Oryctolagus cuniculus: one gene and its partner. The protein of the gene in region 2 binds, or shares a complex with, the protein of the main gene of each other region. Links are inferred from orthologs where the notes say so. Each region holds a gene or a part of one and is shown on either strand. Other genes may lie near its edges.

Region 1 (5,571 bases), on a different chromosome or scaffold from region 2:
AGGTAAAAGCTATTGGCTAATAAAAACAACGGCTTGCTGGCAAAAGCAAACCTCAAAAAGAAATGTTTCATTAATTTCTCTACCAGTAACACTGTTATCACAGAGGAACCTCTAAGAAAATGTGTCATTGGCCTAGCCAAAAATAATGAGTTTGCCAGTAAAACTTTCCTAAATGATTAGAAACTATCCATTCCTTTTCATGACAACCAGAAAAACAACCCAAATATCCAGACTGTTGCCTTTACTGTTCAACTCACTAACTTGCTTTTTTGATTTTGCCAAATCCACCTATGTGAACTTGATATTATCTGTTAAAAGAGCATCTCTACAATGCTTCCTCCCTTCAACATTCGGAGTCTATATATAAGCAAACTATACCTGACTATGGGTATCATCTTGCTTACAACAATTTAACTACTGAGTTATAGAAATATATCTATAAAATGTACTTTACCAATGACTCCACAAGGCATTATAAATAGGCAACATAATTTTAAGTAGGTGGTTTAAATCTCAATTTGATGATACACATTATTTTTTCAGCAAACCGGATGTTTCTAAAGTCAGTTACCCTAAAACTCTTGGAGACCCAAATGTCTACAGGAAAAAATCTGTTTTCTTCTGGTACTCCTCCCTGTTGAACAAATCAAACATGCCTTTGAGATGTTCTTTTTCTGCCTTAAATGAACCAACACTTGGCCACCTAATGTATTCATAATCACTATAGTGGAGGCATGAAGGGAATATGTATTCCTTATGAGGTCTATGCTTAAAGAGGAAAATTGCTTACAATTTGAAAAGCCCTCAAAATACTGATGTCATTAAAGGTTCTTGGGAATTTGAAATCAGTGATTTTCAAATTTTTAAAAAATTATCCTTTACTTGAGCGAAGTTTTTTGCTAAATGAAAAGTAATTTATATTTGTCCTGATTTTTAAAGACAATTCCAGGCTCAAAATGTGGCAAATTAGAAGGTCATTAGTGGCCCAGTCAAGTGATCAACTCGAAGGTTTCTTTCAAAAGTATCAGTACTGCTGCAATCCTGGCATATTAATTGGAATCATTTTTATATTGGATACCAAATTAATATCCAGGGCAATAAACCAACACCTACTTAGAACTTTAATATTTTAAAAGCCAGTTTGCAGTAGGTCTCCTCATTCTTGTAACTCACAATTGTCCTACACAGTAATGTATGTGGATAAACTGAGGCTTTAGGAACTTAGCTGTTTCTTTGAGAAGCGTCATATCCTCATTAGAGTAAAACATGAAACACTGCTAACATTTCCTGAATACCTGATGAACAACATGCTATCATAACCAAGTTCTAGTCCAACAACAAAATCATTTAAAAAATTCCCTACAATAACACGCACACCTTTCAATACACAAAAATCGACTAAACCATCCGTGTTTTAAAATATCAAAAATGTTAACATAAAAAAAGGACTCCAATAAGAGAGCGCATTTCCCCAAACAAAGGAAGCAAATCCTAGCTACCGCATCCAAACAAAAAACTGGGGCTCTGAAAGCAGCCCTCGTCCGCTGGGAAATTACAGCCTCAGAAAAGGACCTAGAAATAAATTGAGCTCCGCACGCGCCTGCCTCTCGCCTCGGGAGCACGCACCTCCCAGCCCCGCTCAGCAGCTCTCACTATTTAAAGCCGGATCTGGTGTTTAAATGGAGAGGCGGTGACGTAGGCCTGAAAAGCACCTTCCCATCCTGGCAGAGTCTATATTAGAGAGCGGCAATGGCTCTATATAAACAGGGCAGCCAAAGGGAGGAGGACCACAAGGCTCAGGGACTGAAAAGCAGGGTAAGCGGCCGCAGCCATGATGGATCGACCCGAGTCGCCAACGGTACGGTGTCGGGCGGCCGCGGGTTTGTCCGCGGCATTCGGGACCGGGCAAAAACGTGTTTTATTGTCGTAGTAAAAAGAAGAGTTGGGTGGGCTAGTGATCACACTGCGTTGGTGACTGAAAAGGTTATTTATGTGACTGCTTTTTGCAAACCTACGTGATCGCAAGGAACCAAAAAGGGACTCACGGGAAGAAGTAGGCAAATTTCAAGGCGCAAGCGGGGCACTTTGACCACTGGAGGCTTTTTGGGGTTTGTTCTGGTGCTTTTGCTAGTTGAAGATACGACGGGGGTTTTGCTTCCCCTTCGCCATTTTACCCATTCGGAAGGAACTGAGATAAGTGCTTTTCAACCTTCGTCTGTTTTTTTTTTTTTTTTTTTAACATAAAATGGCCCCATTGAAGGTCCCCAAAGCACAACCGCCAGGAAAAAAACAAAAAACAAAAAAACCCAAAGTAATCCTCCAAGTAACCCTAAGCCTTCCACTGCGTTCAAGTGGATCCCGGCGGGTCCCGGGAGCTGGCCCAATTCCCCAGCCGCGGATCTGATTCCGAGGCCGCTTGGGGAGCCTGGTCGAGCCGGCGCCGACGGGCCCCCTTCGCGGGAAGCGGCGGCTCGCCGCCCGCCCGCCCGCCCGCAGGCCGGGGCCGGGGGCCGGGGCCGCGCGCCAGCCCGGGCCCAACGGCCTCCGCGGCCCGGACCTCCCCAGGCCCCGCCGGCGCCCCCGCCCGCCCCGCCGCCGCCGCCGCCGCCGCGAGCCCTCGGCGCCCCCCCCGCGCCCGCCGCCCCGGCCCGGGCCGCCCGAGGCGGGAAGCGGCGGCGGCGGCGACCGCGCGGGCGGCTCCAGCGCCGAGGCCGGGATCGCCGCCGTCCCCGCCCCCGCCCGGTCCGGCCGTTGCTGCCGCCTGAACGAAGCCCCCTCCGGCCACCGAACCACGTCCTTACCACGGTGTTTGTATTTGCCGAGTTCGCCATTTCCACACACAACACAAACAACACGGGGGTAACCCCGGGAAAACACGGTCAAAACAAAACCAAAAAGAAAAAAAAAAAAGAAAAGAAAAACCACCCGGAGGGCGACCCAAGTCACCACAGATTGGGGCAAAAAATGGAAACAAAATCGATTCTGAGGGAGAGGGGGAAGCGGTGAGAGGAGAAGGAAGGGGACACTCTCTCCTCCCGAAGCTAAAAACCTCGAGAAATGCCTTAAAAAAAAAAAACACGCCAAGACCCTTCGGGGGTCCGGGGGGCGTTGCCCACTCCCCACCCCGTGCCAAGGAGGGAAACCACCGGTCACCGCTCCCCGCGCCGCCGCTGCCGCCACCGGCTGCAGCTCCAGCCGTCCGGTCCGCTCGCTTCTCCCCTTTATATAGCGAGCCAACAAGCTGCGCGAGCCGCCGCCGCCGCCGCCGAGAGACAGGGCGGAGGGGGAGGGAGGGGCGGAAAGGGCGGGGGCAGAGGTGGGCGGGGCGGAGCGCGAGACACCGCGAGAAGCCGCGTGCGCAGGCGCGCCGGGGCGGAGGCCGCCTCGCGCCGCGTCGCTACGCGCGAAGGAGGGCGCTGGGCGGGCGGAGCCCGGGGACTGGAGTAGTGGAGTTGGCCCGCCGGCTCCCCAAGTCTCGCGTGATCACGTGGTTGGCAACCAGGCGGAAGTCTCCTGCAGCCCTCTGCGACCGGGAGCTTGCAAGGCATTGCTGGGAAAGGTGCGCGAGTTCTAGTGACACCCGAGGGCTCAGCTAGCTGGGAACGCCTCCTGTCAGACGTCTGCGCGCCGAGCGGCGCTGCGGGAGCTGGGGTATGGGAAAGGGGCGGTGGCCGCCGCCGCGCTCGGCGCGGCCGAGGAGGAGCGCGGGTCACGTGGAGCGGCTTCCGGGCCCCTGGCGCGCCTGGCTCGGGACAGGGTGTGAAGTGCGGAGTCATCTTGTGGCCCCGGGGCTGCGCGCGTCTGAGTGGGCCTCTTCTCGCAGGGCTGAGTCTGTTTCAAAAGCGGGTGGGAGTCTATTTGGGTCCTCGGTCTGCACGGTCCAGAATTAGCAACCTCCGAAGCCGGCGCAGCTGTTTGTCCCCACGCTGAGTCTGGGTATCAAGGATTTGGGGGCGAAGTGTCCCCAAACTTTCGGCCCCCGCTAGCCCGCGTGGTTTTAATGACTTCGCAGCCTGATGGAAATGACAAAGCGCGAAACTCCAGCCGCTGGACTATGGAAGAGCGATGACTTTGCCTGGCGTTTTAAAAATGTTGCCAACATGCCATGACTCCACGTGGCTAGCCTGGAGTGACTAATCACACGTGAAGTACGAGCCTTTGACCCACCAGTTAACACGGCCTCTCCCTGCGAGAGAGCTGGGAGCATGTGTCCGTGTCGTGGAGGGCATTCGATAGGCGTTTGACCTGCTTCACCCAAGCAAAGCCAGCTTTGATGTCAACATCTCACGCGGAACAGAGTGCGCTGTCCCGAAGGCAGAACCCTCAGTACCTCATTTTCTCTAGCCCGGGAATTTTGAGTGAGGGGGTTTATCTTCAAAAGGCAAAGCAAAACAGAATATCAGAAGAGTTGTGTGGGTGAAACCAGGTTTGAAGACTTATCAAAGGCATGCTACCAGGGGGGGGAAGATGCACCTTGCCAGGCTCCGGGAAAGGATTAGAAAAGCAAGAGGCCGTTAATAGAAAATGGGAGATGGCAAATAGGAATGTGAATGGGTGAGGGCGTACAGTGTATTTAGCTCTATGGTTTAGCTCCTAACTCCAATCTGCCCTTCACAGTTTGTTGCTTAGTAGTTCGCTGCACAGCTCCTGGTCGGAAGTGCTTAAAGAAAAAATTAATCACAGGACATCTGTGTTCCTAGTAGCTTATGTGAAACTGATTCTATCAACATTTTTTGTGTAGTTAAGATTCAGGTGGCAATTAGCCTGAAAATGTACCCAAATAACATCACTCTTAGTAGTTCTCCCTGCAAAGTGTTTTAAGAGGACTTTTTGTTTCCTCCTTGGAGGTACTCCCAATTTCATTGAGATCCCTCACCTTCCGCCTAGTTTTCTATCCTATCACCTGATACACTTGACTAAGTGGTCAGGTATTTTGTTATCAATTTAGGTTGAGACCACTGCAGATGGACAAGGAAGTAGACCTATGAAATTTGTGCTCTGCACAACGATTCTGCTCTAAGGCAATGAGATGTATGTGCCAGTGGGTCTGATTTGTGAAATACTGGAATCCCCTCACTGGATTAAAAATGTCCTTATGACTTTCACACTCCCTAGAGGGTCTGAGTTGACCTCTCTTTATGCCTTCTAAATGGCTGCGATACCTAAGCACTTTACTAATACCCAAGTCTCTTCCTTTCTCTGATTCATGTGCTTGACATCTAAGAAACCCTCAAGGATTCCATTCTAACTAACTGGTTTTCCAATCTTTCATTTAGCTTTTTTTTTTTTTTTTTTTTTTTGGATAGGCAGAGAGGACAGTGAGAGAGAGAGAAAGGTCTTCTGTTTCCATTGGTTCACCCCCCAATGGCTGCTGCAGCTGGCGTACTGCAGCCAGTGCACCTCGCTAATCCGAAGCCAGGAGCCAGGTGCTTCTCCTGGTCTCCCATGCGGGTGCAGGGCCCAGGCACTTGGGCCATCCTCCACTGCCTTCCCAGGCCACAGCAGAGAGCTGGCCTGGAAGAGGGGCAACTGGGACAGAATCTGGCGCCCCGACCAGGACTAGAACCCCGT
Region 2 (5,485 bases):
CCCATAGCTAACCGTACACAGCTGCAAGCAGACACAACACCAACAATCAAGTCAGCAACAAGCAGCTCACTCAGAACATGGTTACCATTGGGCATGTCCACTGCCCAAGTGAAGAGTGCAGTTTACTTCAGGAAAAACCGGTGTGCAATCCCAAAGGAGCCAGATCTGTCTAAATCGAGCTTTCCCCATTAGCTTCTGCTTTTGGAAAGTGCTTTTGGAGAGCAAAACTTTCTTGCCTAATTCTGACATACATTCCTTAATTTCTAAAACAGCTTAAAATCTCTCTTTTATCTTCTCTTTTTTTAAAAAAAAGATTTATTTATTTGAGAAGGCAGAGTTACAGAGAGAGAGAGGTTTTCCATCTGCTGGTTCACTCCTCAGAAGGCCACAACAGCTGGAGCTGCGCCAATCTGAAGCCAGGAGCCAGGAGCTTCCTCCCGGTCTCCAAAACTGGTGCAGGAGCCCAAGCACTTGGGCCATCCTCCACTGCTTTCCCAGGCCATAGCAGAGAGCTGAATCGGAAGTGGAGCAGTTGGGACTAGAACCGGTGCCCATCTGGGATGCTGGCACTGTAGGTGGCAGCTTTACCCGCCACACCACAGCACCAGCCCCTCTTTTTATCTTCTCTTCCCTTCCTCACCATGTCCAAAGTTGTCACCCTCATCCAGAGCTCATCCTGCCACACCAGTAATTACCACAGCTCCTAGTACACAGCTGGCATGGAGTAGGCACATGGTAACTGTTGCATAAATCAACATAAATCTGACCTCCTTGCCCATATTATTTCCCCAACTAAAACGTAAGCTTCTTGATGGCAGAGAATACAGACAAGCTCTATGAAGAAAGCCACAGAGGTGTGATGGTGGCCATGAAAATCTCACCACTCAAACCCTTGGCTGTTGCTCCTTCCCCCTGCCCCCCACCCACCACTGCATTGTACCAATGCACGTATCTCTACAAGCAGCTCCCAGGCACGAGTGGGTGCAGCCACGGAGCGAAGCTGGCTCAAACCAGTGAGATGTAAGCCCCTCTCCCTGGGCGGCCTTGCCCATCATAAGACAGAACTCTCTTCAGGGCTCCTGGCAGCTACTCTGGGGCCAGAGGCCATGGCAGTCTGGGGCCCTCTTCTGCCATTTGATTTGGGATCTGATTCACCCTCCCTTTAGATCAGCCAAAGGCAACAGAGTCATCATCTATACCTTCAGAATGGCACTAGTCCTCTACCAACCACTGTGCACACAGAACCCTCTCTACTGCAACAGCTGCAGGTCTTTTTGATGTTCCCCCAAGGGAGCTCACTGACCACTGGCCTCATGCAAGCATTTATTCTTAGATGGAGTTTAGCCCCTGCATTAGTCAGCTAGGGTTGACAAAACCAAAAACCACACACTGAATGGCTTCAACATCTATTTTCTCAGTGTTCTGGAGGCTGGAAGCCTATGACCAAGGTACCAGCCAATGTGGTTTGTGGTAAAGGTCCTCTTTGTAGGGAGCTGTCTTCTTGCTGTGAATTCACATGACATGGAGAGAGAAGAAGAGCTCTCACAGTATCTGTGCTTATAAGGACAATCATCCCACTGGATCAAGGCCCCATCCTTAGGGCCTCCTTTAGTCTTAATTACTTTCTCACTCCAACCCACACTGGGGGTTAGGGTTTCAACATGCTAACTTTGGGAGACCACAACCCAGTGCACAGCACCACCCCACTCTAGGCTGTGTTCCCAAATAATCCTGGCCAGAAGGAGTCTGAACCGGTACCCATGCTGTTAGCTCCCATGGATGAGAGCAGCTTGGGGGAAAACACAGCCTCAGCCACAACACAGTGCAGGACCCAGGGAAGCAGCAGCTGCGCTCCCCACAGGGGATCTGATTGGCACACTTCCGTGGCTGCCCCAGGCTGACGACAAGCAACACCTATCCACACTGTGCCGCCATCCCCAGGGCAGGCTGGCCTCGGTCCCTACTTGCCTTAATAAACTGCATGATTCCATCGGGGACTCCAGTCTTGCTGAGCTTCCTGAGGTACTCAGTGATGTCACTGGTTTGCAGCCCAACGCTGACAGCTGCATACAGGGAGTAGGCAGTTAGCTTGTACTCATGCACGTGGGTTGGCCGGCACACCGGCTCGGCAATAGCCACCAGGAAGTCTTGGGCATATTTGTAAACTGGAGAGAAGGCTTCCAAGAAGATGTGGCCATCAGGAGCCTGAAGAACATCAAATACACATGACAGGACACTCCAGAGTTGCAGAGACTCTTAAGACTCTCTCCCATATAATTATCAAAGAAGGACAAGCCGCCTAACACCAGAAGCGTTCCTGCAAGCCCCCCTCCAAATAACTGTAGGGTCTACTACTCAAATCAGATACACAGAAGGAGAGCAAAACAGAAGAAAAGGTTTCCAAAGTCCACAGCTGTTTCTCACACGGGGATTCTGCACAAGGAAATGCAACCTTACTGCCTATCCTCACGGAACCGTTTTTAAGTTAGATCTCAACTGAAGGTAGAACGCTCACTACTCTGGGCTGAGCCAAAGTTGGCTCCCAGATCCACGGTTTCCAACTGATCTAAAACATGCTAAATAAAGTGCTACATAATACATGCTATTTATCCCGCAGCTCAACGTTAATTCCTGGCATGGGGTAGGGAAAAGGAGAGGGGAGTGGATGAGAATGGAGGGGCTGGAGGTAGAGGAACTGCAGGCAGGATCGTGTGGCCCTTGTGCGCAGGTGTGGGGGGGGGGGGGGGAGGTAGAGAGCGCGCTGTCCGGAAGACTGAATCCCACACCTCACTTTTGGATCTGAGAACGCCCAAGCTTCGGCGGCTGTTCCAGGCTCCGGAGCCCGGTCCCGGCCGAGGGCGTGCTTACCACCCAGAGGGGCCTGGAAGCGTGGTCATCCTTGAGAGGCATCTGCAGCCTGTAGTCTTTGGCCCCGTACTCGTCCACTTTGGTGCCCGACTCGTCCACCTGCTTCCCGGCCGCTGAGGGTACGGCCTCCTGAGAGTCGTTTCCAGGGGCGTCGTCGTCATCTTCTTCCTCATCCTCGTAGTGCCGCTTCTTGGACTTCTTCTTGTCTGCAAACAGACACAGGCGTGAGCCCCGCAGCAGTCTGGGGTTTCCACCACATTGCAGGGCGCCAGGTCGCGGCCATCACCCCCCGCGCCACCAACTCTGCACTAAAAACAACCGCCCCCCACCCGGCCGGTTCGCAGAGAGCTGCGCTGAGCTCCAGCCACGCAGCTCCCCTGCCCGGCGGCAGGGCCTGCGGGAAACAGCCTGGCGGCGAAGCCTGAAGCAGCTCCGCCACAGAGGCGGGGGCGGGGCCCGAGTGCGGCCGCCCCACGTCTCACCGCGGTCCGCCCGGTCTCTTTTGCCCATGGCAGCGACTGCCACACACACTGGGGTACAGCCAAACGCCTGCCCACGGCGTCTTCAGCTCTCGGAGGAACTTCCGGCTCACACCGGAAGCTCTTCTGACGTCTGGACGGGAAGTCCCGCCTCTGGGGACCAAGTTGGCGGGGAGGGCAGAGCGAGCGCAGCGGCCGAGAGCTTTCCAGGCGCTGGTGTGAGCCCAATGCTCGGACTTTTTTTTTTTTTTTTTTTTTTTAAGATTTAGTTATTCGAAAGAGTTACACAGAGAAGGAGAGGCAGAGAGAGAGTCAGAGTCTTCCACCCGCTGATTCACTGCCCAATTGGCCGCAACTGCTGGAGCGGCCAGATCCGAAACCAGGAGCCAGGAGCTTTTTCCAGGTCTCCCATGCGGGTGCGGGGGCCCAAGGACTTGGGTCATCTTCCACTGCTTTCCCAGGCCATAGCAAGAGAGCTGGATTGGGAGTGGAGCAACCAGGACTCGAACTGGCCTCCATATGGGATGCCAGCACTTAAGACGTTGGCTTTACCCGCTACGTCTCAGCGCCGGCACCCAGGACGTTTTCTCTGCCCGGGTGTCTTCTCTCCGGTTCTTTCTGCTATTCCTTCAGTGAAGTCTTTTCTGAGTGTCTGTGTGATCGCGCAGTCACTGCCGTAAACCGCTCGGGTAGAACAGACAGCGGACGCAAGGCCTCGACCTTCTGGAACACAAATTCTGACAAAGCAGTGTGGGCCACCAAAAAATAGTGTTGAAATAAAAGGAGCCCAGAGGATGCCGGAATACCTCTCTGAAGTGGTGTAAGACTATAGGCTGAGTGAGGGCATCGCACCATGTGGAGGCTCAGTGTGGCTGGGAGACCTGGGAAAGAGCAGGTGCCCCGTGTCCAGAGCGTGGCCTCCCTGGGGTGTCGACAGGAAACGGAAGCTGGGGTAACTCAGATTGGAAAAGCCGGTGCAGAGTGCCTCGCCCTATCCCCGCCCTTACGGAATCAGAGAGGACGAGGTGGGGCTCAGTTATCGCGTCCTTCCGATGTTCAAGTTCGAGAAGCACTTATGTAGACCATTGTAGGGAATAGATTTGAGATGGGAAACCACTGGGAGATTCTGCGCAGAAGAAATGACTCTGATTTGCTATTCAGTGATCATTCTTCACCGGCTGCAATGCTCAGTGTAGCCTTTACATGGTCGTGAGTACAGGAACAGCTGGTTCTGCCAGGGTGGCAGGGTACGGGTGACACAAGGTGGCGCCATTCTGGATGTATTTTGGAGGTAGAGCGAGTGAGATTTGCTTACTGACTTACTAGGGCAAGTGAGAGAGGAGGAGTAAAGGGTAACTCCACGATTTTTAGGCAAAGAAACTGTAACAATGAAGAAAACCGAATATAAGTGCAGGCATTTATGCACAGACTGCATAAACAACTTACTTTCTAACAGTTCTGGAGGCTGGAGAGTCCAAGTAGGATATCGTCCATCCTGGTGAGGGCCCACTTGGCGGCTGTCAGCTGCCTTCTTGCTGTGTCCCCACATGGCACAGAGAGGGAACTATGATGTCTCCTCCTACAAGGACACCACCCTAGCGACCTCTTTGAACTTTTGTCACTTCCTAATACCTGTCTTCAAATACAGCCACATTGGGAACAGGTCTTGTGGCACAGTGGGTTAAGCCAACACTTGGCATGCCCATATCCCATATTGGAGTGCCTGAGATAGAGTCCCCCCTCTGCTTCCAACTAATGTGCACCCCAGGAGGCAACAGTCAATGGCTCCATTACATCGGTCCCTGCCATCCATGTGGAAGACCCGCATGGACTTCCTGGCTCCTGGCTTCAGTCTGGCCCAGCCACAGCAGTTGTGGGCATTTGGGGAGTGAACCAGCAGTTGGAAGGACAATCTCTTTCAAAATAATAATTAATATTCCATTGTATGGCAATATCATACTTTACTTAGCCAAATCCTAATTGGATAGTTCCAGTCCATTCAGTTTTAAATAGCTCTATTATGCATATCATGAGTTATAAATCATTAACTGCATCCTGGGTTGTTTTAAGGCAAATTCTGAGAAGTGGAAACACGGGATTAAACACAGGGTTTTTTTTTTTTTTTTTTTTTTTAAGCA

What was found. Proteins that work in one complex are often made in the same cells at the same time.
Region 1: ERCC3 (region 2) and GTF2A1 share a complex: the UniProt entries of both Homo sapiens proteins name them as parts of the TBP-based Pol II pre-initiation complex. The link is inferred for Oryctolagus cuniculus from reciprocal best matches to the Homo sapiens genes ERCC3 and GTF2A1.

Annotation. Positions count from the first base shown.
Region 1 is NC_091451.1:27,054,967-27,060,537, forward strand, and holds the start of GTF2A1 (transcription initiation factor IIA subunit 1), read right to left. Parts: upstream 3,286-5,571; 5' UTR 2,832-3,285; coding exon 2,802-2,831; intron 2,183-2,801; exon of another isoform or gene 2,046-2,182; intron 1,859-2,045; exon of another isoform or gene 1,753-1,858; intron 1-1,752. UniProt on the Homo sapiens protein: TFIIA is a component of the transcription machinery of RNA polymerase II and plays an important role in transcriptional activation. TFIIA in a complex with TBP mediates transcriptional activity.
Region 2 is NC_091434.1:122,282,167-122,287,651, reverse strand, and holds the start of ERCC3 (general transcription and DNA repair factor IIH helicase/translocase subunit XPB), read right to left. Parts: upstream 3,494-5,485; 5' UTR 3,379-3,493; coding exon 3,351-3,378; intron 3,075-3,350; coding exon 2,869-3,074; intron 2,206-2,868; coding exon 1,969-2,205; intron 22-1,968; coding exon 1-21. UniProt on the Homo sapiens protein: ATP-dependent 3'-5' DNA helicase/translocase. Binds dsDNA rather than ssDNA, unzipping it in a translocase rather than classical helicase activity. Component of the general transcription and DNA repair factor IIH (TFIIH) core complex.